Linked DNA regions of Callithrix jacchus. The main gene of each other region encodes a partner of the protein of the gene in region 3 in a complex. Links are inferred from orthologs where the notes say so. Each region holds a gene or a part of one and is shown on either strand. Other genes may lie near its edges.

Region 1 (5,977 bases), on a different chromosome or scaffold from region 3:
GGTCAGGATATCAAGACCATCCTGGCTAAGACAGTGCAACTCCATCTCTACTAAAAAAAAAAAATATGGCTGGGTGCAGTGGCTCATACCTGTAATCCCAGCACTTTGGGAGGCCAAGGCAGACGGATCACCTGAGGTTGGGAGTTCAAGACCAGCCTGACCAACATGGAGAAACCCCATCTCTAATAAAAATACAAAATTAGCAGGCATGGTAGTACATGCCTGTAATTCCAGCTACTTGGGATGCTGAGGCAGGAGAATCACTTGAACCCAGGAGGTGGAGGTTGCAGTGAACCAAGATTGCACCATTGCACTCCAGCCTGGGCAACAAAAGCGAAACTCCATCTTGAAAAAAAAAATACAAAAAATTAGCTGGTCGTGGTGGCACATGCCTGTAGTCCCAGCTATTCGGGAGGCCGAGGCAGGAGAATCACTTAAACACAGGAGGCAGAGGCTGCAGTTAACCAAGATGCACCACTGCACTCCACCCTGGGCAACAGAGCAAGACTCAACTAAAAAAAAAAAAAAAAGAACAGTTCTGGGTGTTTGTAATATCATTGCCAGTTCCTGGAAAGCTCTTTCCAAAAGTCTTCATGTGACTGACCCCTTATCCTCCTTCAGGGCTTGGCTCAAATGCCTCCTTTTCAAAGAGCTCCTTCCTGACCACTTCATGCAACGTGGGTTCCTCTAGTTAGTCTCTCTTCATTCTGTTTCTTTCCTTCAGAGCGTTTATTATCATCTTGTGCCTGACGCTTGCTAGTTCACATGCATCAGCAACAAGATAATTCCTCTTGTTTGTTGTCTATCTCCCACGCAGAAAGCAAACCAGCCCTTCATCTGTCTTGTCCACCACTTTATCCCAGCACAGTGACTAACACATATCAGTAGTCAATCAATAAATATCTATAGGCCGGGCACAGTGGCTCACACCTGTAATCCCATACTTTGGGAGGCTGAGGCGGTGGATCATCTGAGGTCAGAAGCTCGAGACCAGCCTGGCCAACATGGTGAAACCCCATCTCTACTAAAACTACAAAAGTAAGTCAAACGTGGTGACGCATGCCTGTTGTCCCAGCTACTCAGGGGCCTAAGTCAGGAGACTCATTTAAACACAGAGGTGTCACCACGGCACTCCAGCCTGGGTGACAGAGCAAGACTCTGTCTCAAAAAAATAGTAAGTAATGCCCAGCACAGTGGTTCACGCCTGTAATCCCAGCTTTGGGAGGCAGAGACAGGTGGATTATGAGGTCAGGAGTTCAAGACTAGCCTGGCCAACATGGTGAAACCCCATCTCTACTAAAAATTCAAAATTTAGCTGGGTATGGTGGCACGTTCCTATAATCCCAGCTACCGGGGAGGCTGAGGCAGGAGAACTGCTTGAATCAGGACCCAGGAAGCAGACGTTGCAGTGAGCTGAGGCAGCGCCACTGCACTCTAGCCTGGGCTACAGAGCAAGACTCCATCTCAAAATAACAGTAATAATAATAAAAAGCCAGGTGCAGTGACTCACATCTGTAATCCCAGCACTTTGGGAGGCCAAGATGGGCGGATCATGAAGTCAAGAGATCCAGACCATTCTGGCTAATATGGTGAAATCCTGTCTCTACTAAAAATACAAAAATTACCTGGGCGTGGTGGCGTGCAGTTGTAATCCCAGCTACTCAGGAGGCTGAGGCAAGATAATCGCTTGAACCCGGGAGGCAGAGGTTGCAGTGAGCTGAAATCACACCACTGCACTCCAGTCTGGGCAACAGAGTGAGAGTCCGTCTCAAAATAATAATAATAATAATAATAAATCTGTAAATACTGCCACAAGAAATTCAATACTTTTTAATAAAAACCCAGATTCCTAATTAAAGAAAAGGGAAACATCTCTCTAAATAACTTCAGAATTCGGACAGAAAATGCTACCCGTGGAAACTCATCTTGAAAAACAGTCCTATTTGTGAACAGGAAACAGGAAATATTTGGACTACACTTTCTCCATCTCCATGAAGGACTTAAATGTGCAGCATTGACAAAGGGGCAGAGTTAGCCCTATCCTTACCATTTCTGCATATTCCATCTGCTCCTCCTCATGGTACAGCTCTGGGGGCAGGTTATAAATTCGCAAGATGTTATCAGCACTGTTGGTCAAGATGCAAGAACCATCAGGGGCCCTAGAAACAGGAGAGAGTTAGAAAGCTGGCCAGATCTACGCTTTTCAAGTGTAGGGCTAGGGCTGCACCTACCTCTGGGGTAGGTAAGCCCCCTGACTCCTTGAGGGAAGCAGAAGACACAAAGACAGAAAATGCTAGATAAAATTTAAGCTCAGGGCCAGGCATGGTGGTTCACACCTGTAATCTCAGCACTTTGGGAGGCTGAGGCTGGCGGATCACCTGAGGTCGGGAGTTCGAGACCAGCCTGACTAACATGGAGAAACCCCATCTCTACTAAAAATACAAAATTACCTGGGCATGGTGGCACATGCCTGCAATCCCAGTTACTTGTGAGGCTGAGGCAGGAGAATCGCTTGAACCCGAGAGGCTGTGGCTGTGGTGAGCAGAGATCACATCATTGCACTGCAGCCTGGGCAACAAGAGTGAAACTCTGTCTCCAAAAAAAAAAAAATCAGGCTGAGTGTAAAAAAGTTACGTGCCCCTTCTTCAGCTCTGGTGTTTCCTTCTCCTAGATAACTGGCATGTTTTACAGTGAAAATTCTGGGGGTGGTCAGATCCCTGCACCGTTATTATCCTTACCATTTACAGCCTTTCAAGAAGTTCTCAGGTTGAGTGCTGAACTCTGACCAGGAACCACTGAGAAATCGAGGCAGCTGGGAGAAGCTGTAGTTCCAAGCGCTAAAAGGAAGATGGAGGACAAAAACGTGGGTCGTTTCTGCAAATGGGGCAGGGGACTGGAGAAGCGGGTCTGAGGACCAGTGGATAGGTCGACCTCATCTCCCCGGACTCCACACTCAACTGCCATCACCACTTACGGGTCTCCCTCGTCATCTGCAGTGGGTTCCCCAGACGCATCTTCCATGGCTTTCCCAGACCCCAACCCTGGCCCGTTCACTTCTTCCTCAAAAAGGCTCCCGTTTGCTTCTTCTGCAGTAAGGCTTCCATTTTCAGAAAGTTCTTGCTTCTCGATTCGAGGACTCATTTCACTAGGAGGACCAAACTCTGTTTCCAGGGGAGTGGAGAGAGAAACTGGGTCCCCCTCCCCTGGCTCCTGGGACACAGCGGAGCCAGCCACGGGATATGGGGACAACCGGGGCGGATCGTCCCTTTCAGAAGGCGGTGGCATCAGTTCAGGGTCCGCATTTTTATCCATCGGGAAAGCGTGAGGAGAAGGATGAGCTGCAGCTGGGTCCTGGTCTGAAGGACAGCAGTCCGGAGCTAACGGTTGCGTCTCCAAAGTCTTCATACTGCAGACGGAGCACAGCGGACATCAACCTCAGTCGGGATGGCCTCGAAGTTCTCAGGAATCCGACTCAGAACTTAAAAACCCCACCTGTGCTTCCTTCCTCTTCTGGGAGGAGGCAGAAGACTCCAGGGAGGAGAGGCGAACAGCGGACGCCAACTTTGAAAGCACGGCGTTCCCTGGCACCGCGGGTCGCTAGGCGCTTCTCGCAGTCGCGGGATTTGGGCCCACCTTCCAAGTGGGCCGCCGCATCACGGATCAGATTTCGCGGGCGACCCTCGGAACCCTCAGAGCCGGGACGTGAAAGGTTAGACAGTTTCCCGTTCCCATCAAGCCTTAGGGCTCCTCGTAGCTGCTGGGAGTTGTAGTCCGAACGCTTCTGTCTTGGCGAGAAGCGCCTGCACTCCCCCTATCGGCTCCCGCGGTAATTTTTAAAGTACCTGTCCCACCCGCCGTCTGCAGAGGGCGCTGCAGGTCTTGCATCTCTTTTGCATCTCATTCTCCAGGCTCTAGACCTGTCTCTCTCCCTTCTTTCAAAAAATACTATCGAGCTCTTACTTGCTCCCCAGCACTGATACAGGCACTGGGAAATACAGCAATGAATAAGATGGGAGAAAAATTCTCATAAGGCTTACGTTTCCATGTACTGAAAGCAATGAACGAATAAATCTTTTCAGAGTGATAAGGGCTGTGAAGGAGATTAAACAAGATGGTGTGATATAAAGTATCTGGGAGAATACGTTAGCCTGAGGTATTAAGGAAAGCCTTCTTTTAAAATGACGTTTTTTAGCTGATGAAAAGAAAGGATCCAGCTGAGAGCAAACGCAAAACCTTTCTTTCTTCAACCCTTCATATTTAACCCAGTGCAGGAGTCCTCCAAAATGGTTTCCACTAATTTTGTCCTCACAGCTCTGGCTTGTAGAATTTTCCCACTCCAAAACATTAGTATCTACAGCACCACCATTTCGGCGAGAACCCTGACTCTCTCTGCACCTTCCTCCCCGACTCTATTTCCTTTACTTCTTCTGGCAGGCGGATTACTTGCCCTTACTTGTCATGGCGACTCTCCAGCTTTGTGCCAGGAGCCTCGCAAGGGTTGATGGGATTGGGATTTTCCCCTCCCATGTGCTCAGACTGGCGCTAAAAGTTTTGAGCGTCTCAAAAGTGTAGAGCCACCCTCCAGGGAGCAGGTAGCTGCTGGGCTCCAGGAACACTTGGCGTCTAGGCTCGGAGCGTGCTTTCGACAGTGACACACTTCCCTGAGGGCTGGGTAAGCTCCTAACTGAACCTGATGAATCCCCTTTGAGTCACGGACTCTGCTCCGTGTATTTTCAGCTCGGGAAAATCGCTGGGGCTGGGGGTGGGGCAGTGGGGACTTAGCGAGTTTGGAGGTGAATGGGATGGAAGCTTGGCTGGAGGGGTCAACATAGGAGTGCAGTGTTGGGAGACCTGAGTGTAGATGATGGCGATGTTAGGACCATCCGAACTCATAGTTGAACGCCTAGGCAGAGGAGTGGGGCTTTGGGGAACCTTGAGCCGGACTAAAAGGTACTTCCTTGCACATCCACCCGGTATTGGGCGTAGGGAATCCCTGAAATAAAAGATGCACAAACCATTGAGGTCGGAGACTTTTGGATCTCCAAATATTGAGAACTCATGGCTGTATGTTTTAGAACCCATGGCATCCTAGTGAAACCTCGGGCTCCATTCCGAAATTATCTTTGGGGGTGATCTGGGAACCCAAGCTGCTAAGGTCCCACAACTTCCGGACCTTTGTCCTTCCCGGAGCGATCTTTCCAGCCGGCCCCCGGCTCCGCCAGATGGAGAAAATCCAATTAAAGGCTGTCAGCCGTGGAAGTGAAAAGTGCTAAACGAGGGGTTCGTCCACCAGGCCAAGGAGGACCGTCCCAATCTGAGGGGCACGGCAGCCCTGTTATTGTTTGCCTCCACATTTACATTTCTGCCGCCTGTAGCAGCATTTCCGGTTTCTTCTGCCGGAGCAGCTCACTATTCACCAGATGAGAGGGGAGGAGAGAGAGAGAAAATGTCCTTTAGGGCGGTTCCTATTACTTGCAGAGAGAGGCTGCTATTCTCCGCCCCACTTTTTTTTTCTGGATTACTTGGTCATGGCCTTTGCAAAGGCTGGGGTATTTGTTTTGATGCAAACTTCAATCCCTCCCCTTCTTTGAATGCTGTGCTCCACCCCGCGCGTCGCCTACAACCTGGGCGGGCGCTACCATGGCATGAGACAGGGAGGGCAAGAAATGCGCAGAAGGCAAACCCGGGGTATTTTCAAGAATGGGTACATCTCATCTTCCTGAAGACAAAAAAAAAAAAAAAAATGGGTACATGTGAGAATGATATTTTGACACAGTACAATGATGGGTCATTTATAATTTCTCAGAAAAACAATCTACCTGTTATCTGGCTTTGGGCTAGGCCATTCCAGTTCCAGACGCAGGCTGAACGTCGTGAAGCGGAAGGGGCTGGCCCGCAGTCGTCCGTGTGGTCCTCTGTGCAGCCCTCCAGGCCCAGCCGGTTCTTCCCGGTGGGAGGCGGAACTCGAATTTATTTC
Region 2 (5,106 bases), on a different chromosome or scaffold from region 3:
GTAACAAGAGCGGAACTCCATCTCAAAAAAAAAAAAAAAAGTGAATTTGATTCAAAATAAAATGCCTCAAAAAAAAAAAACCCAGAAGCTAGGCCAGGCACGGTGGCTCATGCCTGTAATCCCAGCACTATGAGTGGCCGAGGCTGGCGATCACCTGAGGTCAGGAGTTTGAAACCAGCCTGACCAATATGGAGAAACCCCATCTCTACCAAAAATATAAAAATTAGCTGGGCATGTTGGCAGATGCCTGTAATCCCAGCTACTCAGGAGGCTGAGGCAGAAGAATCACTTGAACCCAGGAGGCAGAGGTTGCAGTGAGCCAAGATCATGCCATTGCACTCTAGCCTGGGCAAAAAGAGCAAAACTCTGTCTCCAAAAAAAAAAAAAAAAAACCAGAAACTATAAGGAAAAAAAGGGAAACGATGTCGAAATAATAGCTTAAAGATGGCCAATGACCAATGACCAAAAGATATATATATATAAGCTAAAAGATGAAATCTGCAAGTGGTTTGTCTACTGATCACATTTTATCCAACATTGCCATTATAGATTTATTTTTAATGTTTAAAAAAAAAACTGTAGAAATGTTGCACTATTACTATTTGCCCTTGGGACAATGCCATCACCCTCTAATGCTCACTAACTTCTTTTCCAAACCAAGAGCAAAAACTCTGGCCCTACACTCCATGAAAATTTCATCACCACAATTCTAAATCAAATGATCTCCTAAGCTGTAAAAGCATAACTGCCTATTCCTGTAAAAACTGTAATTTTCAACACATTCACTCATCATATATATTAATGGCCTATGTATTTATTAATCCTGCTACAATTCTATCAATTAAAAAAAGAGATAAAATCCCAAATACTGACATAGACAACACTGTATGCTCCTCAAATGAGCATTCAAGGGTTAAGCATGTTAGAAAATTTAACAAATGATGTAGAAACATCACTCCTTCTGAGAAGTGCAAAATGAATAGCAGGGTAAATAGCTCCGTATCATGGCATTGTAACTTGCTACCATGGTCATTTCTTTACACGCTACTAGCAACAGTGACCAAAACCAATTTCATTTTTAACATCATTACCCAGCAATTTGAACATGTGGTATGCAATCGATATTCACGTATAGTAAATAACACCTTAAACTTTTAGAGTCCCTTTAAAAAAGTAAAAGTGAAATAACATTCAATAAAACCTTTAATATTCCATTTATGTTGGCTGAGAAAAATTGACCGTTTCTTTAGAAATTTCTTGAACTACAGTTTTCACTTAAACAGAGCTACTCCACCTTCAATACATTGCTAATATGGAAAATTTTTAAATCAATAATTAAATGCAATTAGAGAAACAGCTTAACGGATTTATGTATTAAAACACAAAAGGGAAACACAGAGCTATGTTCTCATATGTAAAAGGCCAGGGTTTTGAAAGGGGGTATTAATTTGTAAATAAAGTACTGCTCTAGTAGCCTATTTTTTCAAAGATCAAATAGAATCAAAAAGGATTGAAAAGAAACCTTTTTTTAATCTGCAATTCACTGGGTTTAAGCTTTAGTTGTTCCTTTCTACTTCAAAAAATGGGTTTCTTTAATAAACACACTCTAAATAAGGGAATAAACACTTTATTTTAAAAATTCAAATATGCTTCAAATGAAAACTCCTGTCCATTTATTAAGCACCCACAGAGTGCCAGGCACTATACAAAACATTAAAAAGATTTGTTCATGCTCTTTTAGAGCAAAATTCACTATTCCGTTGTACTTGGCATAATGCTGACATTTTAGATCCATTGTCATAAAACGACCAAGATCTTCAAGACTTGCTCAAGAAACAAGTTTCCAATCCACAGTAGAAACAGATGACACAGGTTTATGCAGAAGTCAACTGGTGATGTCTGTCAACCATTTCACTTAATGTCCTCTCCCTAATTAAGAGAAAATTGAAGTATTAAGGGCACAGAAAATGGATTTCTTAATAGTATTATAACCTAAAACTCAAGTTTAAAATCAGCATTAGTTTCTATAATGTTTAGCAAACATATTTTACCCAATTTAACTGTCATTCATATTACACTTTCATTTTTTAAATTAATAATTAAGCAAAACCAAATTAGAATTAGGTGAAAAAAATTGAAAGGAAAAGGCAAAACAAAAAGTGATATAAAATAAAGCCACAAATTAGGCTAAGCAAAGAACATCACGGTGTGCTACATACTTGCTAGCAGAGAAAAATAAACTGAAACAAAAACAGAAAATGCCTGTTTAGTATCAATTCTAAAAATCAAGCAATTTAAAGACTTTTTAAGATACTCACCTCTGAAACCACCTCCCCCTCTTCCTCCTCGGAAGCCCCCACCTCCACCTCCTCTTCCACCTCTAAAACCACCTAAAAAACATGTATTAAATAATAATGCAAAATATTTAAATAATATAAATAATAAACATGAACAGTTATTAACTATATAACCTCTTATGCTGATAAGCCTACAAACATCAATACAATAACTATAATTACAATGAATATTCACATATTTTATCATGGAAAAAATTTTAGAAGATAAAAATGGAGGGACTGTAGTTTACCAACTTGGCAACAGGCTAAAACCCTAGATTCCTTTTAAACAAGTATTCCATTTCAATAAATTAGAAAACCTGCTACTTTAAAGTATAATTCAGTCTTGTTAAATGTACAATTATCACCTTAGTTCTTGCTTATGATAAAGACTTTTTGATTCAACGAAGGATAGTTTGATGGAATGAAGGCTTTTTATCCTAAGAACAAAGGGTGGCACCTATGGGTGCTTTTGCTCTGGGGGCATGATAATAAATATGATAGTTAAGGCTAATTGAGCTACATAGGTAAGATTTTTTAAAAATAAGATAGTTGTGAATTTTTTGAAATGTTAAATGATACTCAAATGAGAATAGGGGAATCTCTATTCATCAAATTCTCAAGAAGGTACCCCTGAAAATATTGGAGAAATATGTTGATATTTTTTAAAGATATTCCTTGCTACCTATATGGACCCAAACAAGTACATTTATGGAGTGAAATGATGATTAAATTGAGAGACGCAAAAGCGAATCGTTCCTTCTCTTTTTCTGATCCAATAACAAAAGCCCAACTTTCAGCTCCTCCCCCTTTCCACTTTGGCCCTCCCCCTACTCACAGGACATGGCAGCCCCACTCCCCAGAGCCCTGCTCATCACCTAGCTGCCAATTAATGATGAATGTGCCAAAACCTTGGGGAAACAGTGAGATCACAGCAATGAACTTATTAGTAATAGTTCTTGACATGACATCAGAAGATATGCATTTTAATTCTGGGTCTGCCAATTGTTTGATGGGGGCAAATTAATTTCTGTAAGTCTCCGTTTTCCTCATTCATAAAACAAAAATATCATCTATCTCAAAAGGTTTCACTGAGATTAGAAGAATATACAAAGAAATTAAAAGAAGGTATGACCAGCTTTCAGCATGCAGTCTATACTCAATGATAATAAAATTAAGATGATTTTATGGTTTATTAAAATGCCCAAGAAAACATGAATAACCCAAAGAAATAAAGTCCCTCAAAAGTATACTACAGTAGATTTTTTTTTTTCTGTTTAAGTTGTTGAAATGAAGCATTATTATTATGGACAATCTGTCAATATTTGAAAGCAGCTTTACCATAAGGGAGGTTTGCTATGTTCAAAACTAAATTGTACTATATGAATTTAGCTGTGACTCTAAAATCTCAACAGAAATTTTCCCCAAGTAACTTACCACCTCTGCCACCACCTCTGCCACCTCCTCCTCGTCCTCCTCCTCGGCCTCCCCTGCCACCACCTCTTGGAGGTCCTTTCTCACCTGGAGGTCGAGGTAAAAACCTCTGCAGTGGCAGCAGCTTATATGGGTCTATATAAAACTGGAAACATAATAGAAGCAATTAGTGTGATGACTTGGGGGACAGTATAATAATTCAGAAGCTACATGATAGAGTCAAAACTGACTGGGTTCCGTTTTGCAATTTAATTCTTTCCACAATGTATCTCTGGGTAAGCACTTAATTTCTTACTACCTTAGTTTTCTTTTATCTTTTTTTTTAAATTTTAAGTTCTGGGATATACGTGCAGAATGTGCAGGTTTGTTACATAGGTATACATGTGCCATGGTGGTTTGCTCCACCTATCACTTGTCATCGAGGTTTTAAGCCCGCATGCATTGGGTATTTGTCCCAGTGCTCTCCCTCTCCTTGCCCCCCACCCCCCAACATGCCCGGGTGTGTGATGTTCCCCACCATGTGTCCATGTGTTCTCATCGTTCAACTCCCACTTATGAATGAGAACATGCAGTGTTTGGTTTTCTGTTTCTGTGTCAGTTTGCCTTAGTTTTTTTATCTGTAAAATGTAGAGAATACATAACTAGCTCACATGTTTGTGTGATGATCAAAAGTGACCTATATAAGGCACTTGCAATTTGGCACACAATAAGCATTGTATGCATATAAAAAAATCAAGACCAATTCAATCTCATTTCTCTTTAGAAATAGGTTTAACATTTCCACTCAAAAGAACTGCCTTAAGAAAAATAAAACATAGCATTATCTTGAATAAAATAAAAAACATAGCATTAAAATTCAAAATAAAGCATTCACAAACTAGCTGTTTCAAGCCTTTAATAAAGATCAAAAGGGTAACTATTTTCTGAACACACAAAGTAATGAAGGATATAGAGAAACTATACCCATCCCATAATTGGGGCTAAAGAGGACATTTCTCAGATAATGAAATGTAAAGGGCATATTGTATCATAGTTCTTCTACACAAAACACATGAGGATTTCAAAACTGTGATACATTACTTAGAATAAGATACCTGAATCCCTCTCTAGCTATCACCTTATTATTCATCTTCCCTTCATAGCCCATCATCTCAAAATATTATCTAGATCTACACTGTTCCATGTGGTAGCCATGAGCCACAGGTGGCTACTTATATTTAATTATTAAAAATTCAGTTCCTGAGTTACATGAGCCACACTTCAGGTGCTCAAAAGCTACATGTCACTAAGAGCTACCTTACTGGGCAGGGATTTCCATCACTGCAGAAAGTTCAAG
Region 3 (5,955 bases):
GGTGGGCAAGCCAGGTCAGACAGAAGCAAGCCAGGTCAGACAGAAGCAAGCCAGACCTGAAGCAGGGGGGAAGTGAGAACCTGCAGAGTCCTGTGTCCCGGCAGCAACATGGAAGGAGGAAGTGACCAAGAAGAGCCCAGGACGAGAAAAGATAGGCTTGGGGACCGGCCCGGTGCCTGCACCATTTATCCAGGCGACTGGCGTGGCTGTGGCCACAGAAACAGCAGATGTACAGAAGCATAGCACAAGAGAGCAAAAGCCAAGGACACCCAGGACCAAAACTCACCCACACACGACAGGGACACCTGGGACAGAGCCTCACTCCCTGCACAAGCCAGGGGCAGATTGTGACCTCATCTAAAATCAGAGAACAGCAATGATGGCAGGCAGATTCCTGATCAGAGCACTCAAACTCTCCTCCCTCGAAGGAAGCTAGAACGGGTGGCACGACTGCTTATCCGACTCGGTGTGGCCACCGGAGCCACAGCACGTGGCAGGCAACTGCTGTTCAACAGGTTAGGGACTTCAGTCATGCAAGACGTAGCAGTTTGAGTGACCTGTTGTAGACACTAGGCCAAGTTAGCAATTCTGCACTGTACACGGAAGATCGTGCTAGGAGGGCCAATCTCACATTGTATGATTTTTGCCATCATAAAAAAGAGCCCCAGGAAAGTGGTCACCCTCCTCCAGCCAGTCCCGGGACCCTAAGGGAACCTGAACAGCGGCTCAGCCACAGGAAGCTACGCACCCGCCGCGGTGCTGGCAGAACAGGTGCACAGGCCGCTGCCACGAGGGTCTTCCTGAACGGGACCAGGAATGAAAGCCCCCACCACAGGCGACTCTAATGAGAAGCCAGCATGGGCGGACGGCTCTGCAGACATGGTCTCTGCCAGGGCCCTACTTCCGGAAGTCTTCGATGTCTTGGGATTTTGTGAGGAGGAGGGCCTGTTCCGGCTGCCACTGCAAGGCCTGGGAGTGCTGGGAGCCAACAGGGGGGTGCAGCAGAGGTGCCTCCACATCAAACCCAGAAAAACAGAGCGGGGACACGGCAGGACCCAGCAGCACTGTCCCCCGAACACCCACAGCACCGTCCCTTCCCTGAGCAGGAGCCATCTGCTGTCCTCTGCTCCCACGTGGCCTTCTTCACTCCTACAGACAGGACCAGGACCTGTGCTGGAGGACAGCCTTCTTTATCTCCCTCCCTCTACTCTGTCCTGGCAGAATCAATGCACCATTTTTTTGTTTTGTTTTTGAGACAGTTTCACTCTTGTCACCCAGGATGGAGTGCAATGGCACCATTTCAGCTCACTGCAACCTCCCGGGTTAAAGTGATTCTTCTGCCTCAGCCTCCTGAGTAGCTGGGATTACAGGCACACGCCACCGTGCCCAATTGGTTTTTGCATTTTTAGTAGAGATGGGCGTTCGCCATGTTGGCCAGGCTGGTCTCGAACTCCTGACCTCAGGTGATCCACCTGCCTCTGCCTCCGAAAGTACTGGGATAACAGATGTGAGCCACCAACACAATTAAATCTTAAATACAAACCTGCATATTGGCTGACCATGTGCACCTGCAAAACCCTTCCCTCCCACCCCAGGAAGAGGGAGTTTTTGTCCTCAACTCCCATTCCTATCCTTGAAATCGTGAAGGGGATTATAGGTAACCTGCAGGCACTCTGCCAAGAGTGTCTGTGCTTCCACCCGCTTCCCCACCTTGTGAGCACCCCAGCTCCACAGCACGCCCCGCCCCGTCTGTTCACTGCTCTGGCCTCAGCGCCTGGAAACTGCACGTCCATAAAAAACCTGAAGGCGAACCTCATAGCTTTATGCAAACTGGACGGGAGAGAGAGCGCAGAGGCAGAGATCACCACGTCCACTGACGTCCTGAGCAAGAAGCCACGTGTGCCCACGTGATGCAGACCAGAGGACCAGGGCTCTGCCTGCCCTCTTTTCTGAACCCCTTCTGCATTAAGCTCTGGGGCCTGGGACCTCGACGGCCACCCTCTCCTCACCTGGGCTCCTGCGCAGCCAAGCGCAGTCACGCACGCTCATCTTCCAGGTCAGCTCCTGCAGCGAGAGCTTGGCATGCTTCCCCAGAGAGATGAACTTCTTGGTGTTCCTGAGGAAGCGACGCTCGTTGTGCCTGGAGCCCCAGAGGCCGGGAGGCACCAGCCGGCGAAGGCAGGCCCGCAGGAAGCTGTACACCTGCCAGGGGCTGCTGTGCTGGCGGAGCAGCTGCACCAGGCGACGAGGGTCTGTGTCCTCCTCCTCGGGGGCTGCCACAGAACCCAGGGGCTCCTGGGCACAGACACGGGCCGCCGGGGTGACCGCAGTCCGCAGTGGGCAGTGTGTCTTGAGGAGCGCCCCGTAGGGGCACCGCGCGTGGTTCCTGAGCAGCTCCAGAAACAGGGGCCGCATCTGCCAGTAGCGCTGGGGCAGGCGGGGCAGCCTGCGGGGCGTCCCTGGCCTCGAACCCAGAAAGATGGTGTCCAGGAGCCTGCGGGCGCCCGTCAGGCTGGGGCGCAGGGCGCTGAGTAGGAAGGAGGGCCGAAGCCGCTCCTGGGCACCCGAAGAGTAGAGGAAGTGCTTGGTCTCGGCATAGACCAGGGGACATGGCGTGTCCCGGGGCTGCGGTGACCGCGATTTGGATGGGGGCCCCGCCCCGGGCTGGTGGCCCGCTGATGGGTACGAGTGGCATGCGCCAGGGGCTTCCTCGGCTGCTCCCACAGGTGATACCACGCAGAAACCGTGGCCACTCGGTCCACGTGTCCTGCCGGGGTGCGCCCGAGATCCCTGCCCCACAGGCGTCCGCTCCGGCTCCAGGGCAGGCCCACACCTGGGCCTCTTGGGCCACGGTGGACTTACGCTGGCGCTGCCCCGGCGCCTTCTCTCACCCGGGGCTGGCAGGCCCAGGCGGACCCCGGGCTCCTTGACGCTGCTGCTCCAGGCCCGTTTGCGTCCCAGGCCCCTTCGCGTCCCAGCCGCGTGTGGCGCGGGCCGGGGCTCGGGCGCAGTGCGGAGCTCGTACAGCGGCGGCCCGCACACCTGGTAGGCGCAGCTGGGAGCCACCAGCACGTAGAGCGCGCAGTGCGCCAGCAGGTAAACCAGCACGTCGTCGCCCAGGCGGCGCAGCAGCAGCGCCCACGCCCCGCTGCCGCGCAGCGTCTCGGTCACCGTGTTGGGCCGGTAGCTGCGCACGCTGGTGGTGAAGGCCTCGGGGGGGCCGCCGCCGGCGCCATCCAGCAGCGCGAAGCCGAAGGCCAGCACGTTCCTCGCGCCACGCTCGCAAAGCCTCTGCAGCACCCGGGCCACCAGCTCCTTCAGGGGGGACACCTGCGGGCGGGGGAAGCGCCCTGAGTCGCCCGCCGGGGGTGCGCGCGCCGCTCCGCTCCCACCCCCGCGCCGGACGCGGACCCCGGGTACCCCACCTGGTGGAAGGATGGGGCGGCGGGGGGCGGCCGTGCGTCCCAGGGCACGCACACCAGGCACTGCGCCACCAGCGCGCGAAAAGCCGCCGGGTCCCCGCGCTGCACGAGCCGCCGGCCCTCGGGCCCCAGGCGCCGCACAAACGTGGCCAGCGGCAGCACCTCGCGGTAGCGGCTGCGCAGCAGGGAGCGCACGGCTCGGCAGCGTGGCGCGCGCGGCATCGCGGTGGACTGCAAGGGCCGGAGCGCGGCGTCCCACGTGCGCAGCAAGACGCGGCGCGGTCAGCCTCCAACCTGCGCCCCAAGAGAAGGCGGGACCGCGGAGAGGAAGGGGCGGGGCCGGAGAGTGAGGGGCGGGGCTGGAGGGGAGGGGGCGGAGAGGGCCGGAGGGGGCGGGGCCGGGGACCGGGGACGGGGAGGGGTCGGGACGGGGACGGGGGCGGGGTCCGCGCGGAGTCGGCGGAGCTAGGTGAGGGCGGGGGCGGGCCGGGTTTAGGAAGCCTGGGTCCCTCTCCCTCCGCCACGTGGGCAGCGCAGTCCCGGGCGTCTGCGCCCCCGAATCCACCGGGATCCCGGCCTGGCCTGGCCTCGACCGCGCAGCTGCTCCGTGCGGACCCGGGGGTCTGGGACGCGCTTCCCGCCCGCGCGCCGCCGCCGCTCGCAGGGTGCAGCGACCCCAGCGAGGGCCCCGCAGAGAGGGGTGACGTCAGCCCAAGCGCGGGGTAACCCGAGGGAGGGGCGGTGGCCCTGGGCACAGGTGCGTGGGGCGCTCACTTCATGGCTTTCCCAGATGGGCCCGACCCCTAGAGCCAGGGCTGTCCCCCGGTCCGGACGGGGAACGTCGGGAAGAAGCAGGGCGGCGGGCTCCCGGCCCTGGGAATGCAGGGCTCCGGGGGAGGACCGAAGCGCGTAGACGCGGCTGGGGACGACCCCCAGGGCACAGCGCTCCCGGGACGGGCACGCGGGGCTCTCGGAGCGCCTCCCTGCCCACGGGCAGTACTTCCCCGCGACTTGGTCTCCTTTTCTCTTTGCAGGTTCTTAGGCCGCGAGGGGTCCCCACCATGAGCAAACCACCTCAGATCTGTTCACCCACCGGGCCGTCGCGTCGAGGAAGGGTGGGACATGCAGTCAGGTGCTCCTCTGGCCCGGCACTGGGGGCCTCACACCTGCCGCAGCTGCCTTTACCCTGGGCCCTGGCGCGGTGTCCACCAGCTGAGGCCAAACTCCGGTCACTCCCACCCGCAGAGGGAGGAGGGCAGCCTCGGGGGTCCGGGCACCTGGCTACAGCCTCGGACCGCTGAACCAGAAGGCCCGACCTCCAGCCCAGCTGAGGAAGCCACGCAGCCGCTGGGCCCCTGCAGACCCAGGGCCCGGGCACAGCCGAGGACTTCCCCGAGCCCCAACTCCGGCTGCTCAAGTTTGCATCTAGGAGGTAAGAAACTTCTGGGTCTCCAGAGGCTTTGCGGGGAGCGTGTAGCTGAGGTCGGCAAACACTGAAATGCTAACAGATGCAACCTTCAATGTAACCTTTCCTACTTTCCGAGAGTGTGGGCGGAAATTGCTTTATTTATGGGCCTAGCATTTGAACAGGCCTCGCGCCCTCCCTGAGCCATCACACTCGCTAGGGGTTCGCCTCACCTTGTAAATACTTAGGATTACAGGTTGCTCTTCTAGAAATCCCCTTAGTGAATCCAAAGTCTTTTTAAAGGGCTGTGTTTGTGAATTGTCACTGGACTCGGGCAAAGGGGCTGATGTGGAAAATTCGTTCCAACAAAAGTTAAGTTGTAGCTTACTCTGGTTCCCCCAGAGAAACCAACACAGAAAACCTAATTTTAAAAGAGGGAATAGAAGAAACTCAGGCGGAAGATTACACTGGAGTGACTGACACCACGTCCAGGAGGAGGAGAGGTCTCCCAGCTTTCAGTGAAAATCGAAGACGCCCCAGTATTATGGGTGCAGTTGGTCTATCTTTGAAAAGCTGATGCTGTCTCAGTCATCACAACGGAAAACATTAAGAATGTTCTAAGAGGCCGGCCCGGTGGCTCTGCCTGTAATCCCAGCACTTTGGGAGGCCGAGGTGGGCGGATCACGAGGTCAAGAGATGGAGACCATACTGGCCAACATGGTGAAACCCTGTCTGTACTAAAAATACAAAAATTAGCTGGATGTGGTGGCGCTCACCTATAGTCCCAGCTAGCTACCTGGGAAGCTGAGGCAGGAGAATGGTTTGAACCCAAGAATTGCAGTGAGTCAAGATTGCACCGCTGCACTCCAGCCTGGCGCCTGGCGAAGGAGCAAGACTGTCTCAAAAAAAAAAAAAAAAAAAAGAATGTTCTAAGAAAAACAGATAAACAGATTCTATCATTGGCTTAAAACCCCACAACACTTGAGTGGGGTGAGCTTCCTCTTTCAGACCCAGATATTTCTAAACAGAGTGGATTCTGGGCTGTGTGCAGTGGCTCACACCTGTAATCCCAGCACTTTGGGAGGCCAAGGCAGGTGGATTACCTGAGGTCAGGAGTTCAAGACCAGC

Evidence for each region.
Region 1: TERT (region 3) and WRAP53 share a complex: the UniProt entries of both Homo sapiens proteins name them as parts of the telomerase holoenzyme complex. The link is inferred for Callithrix jacchus from reciprocal best matches to the Homo sapiens genes TERT and WRAP53.
Region 2: TERT (region 3) and GAR1 share a complex: the UniProt entries of both Homo sapiens proteins name them as parts of the telomerase holoenzyme complex. The link is inferred for Callithrix jacchus from reciprocal best matches to the Homo sapiens genes TERT and GAR1.

Annotation. Positions count from the first base shown.
Region 1 is NC_133506.1:74,174,573-74,180,549, reverse strand, and holds the start of WRAP53 (telomerase Cajal body protein 1), read right to left. Parts: upstream 3,741-5,977; 5' UTR 3,406-3,740; coding exon 2,975-3,405; intron 2,838-2,974; coding exon 2,739-2,837; intron 2,160-2,738; coding exon 2,048-2,159; intron 1-2,047. UniProt on the Homo sapiens protein: RNA chaperone that plays a key role in telomere maintenance and RNA localization to Cajal bodies. Specifically recognizes and binds the Cajal body box (CAB box) present in both small Cajal body RNAs (scaRNAs) and telomerase RNA template component (TERC).
Region 2 is NC_133504.1:87,423,231-87,428,336, forward strand, and holds the end of GAR1 (H/ACA ribonucleoprotein complex subunit 1), read right to left. Parts: exon of another isoform or gene 5,067-5,106; intron 3,916-5,066; coding exon 3,774-3,915; intron 2,391-3,773; coding exon 2,319-2,390; intron 1,930-2,318; coding exon 1,916-1,929; 3' UTR 1,612-1,915; downstream 1-1,611. UniProt on the Homo sapiens protein: Required for ribosome biogenesis and telomere maintenance. Part of the H/ACA small nucleolar ribonucleoprotein (H/ACA snoRNP) complex, which catalyzes pseudouridylation of rRNA.
Region 3 is NC_133503.1:204,792,417-204,798,371, reverse strand, and holds the start of TERT (telomerase reverse transcriptase), read right to left. Parts: upstream 3,734-5,955; 5' UTR 3,645-3,733; coding exon 3,426-3,644; intron 3,331-3,425; coding exon 2,010-3,330; intron 1-2,009. UniProt on the Homo sapiens protein: Telomerase is a ribonucleoprotein enzyme essential for the replication of chromosome termini in most eukaryotes. Active in progenitor and cancer cells. Inactive, or very low activity, in normal somatic cells.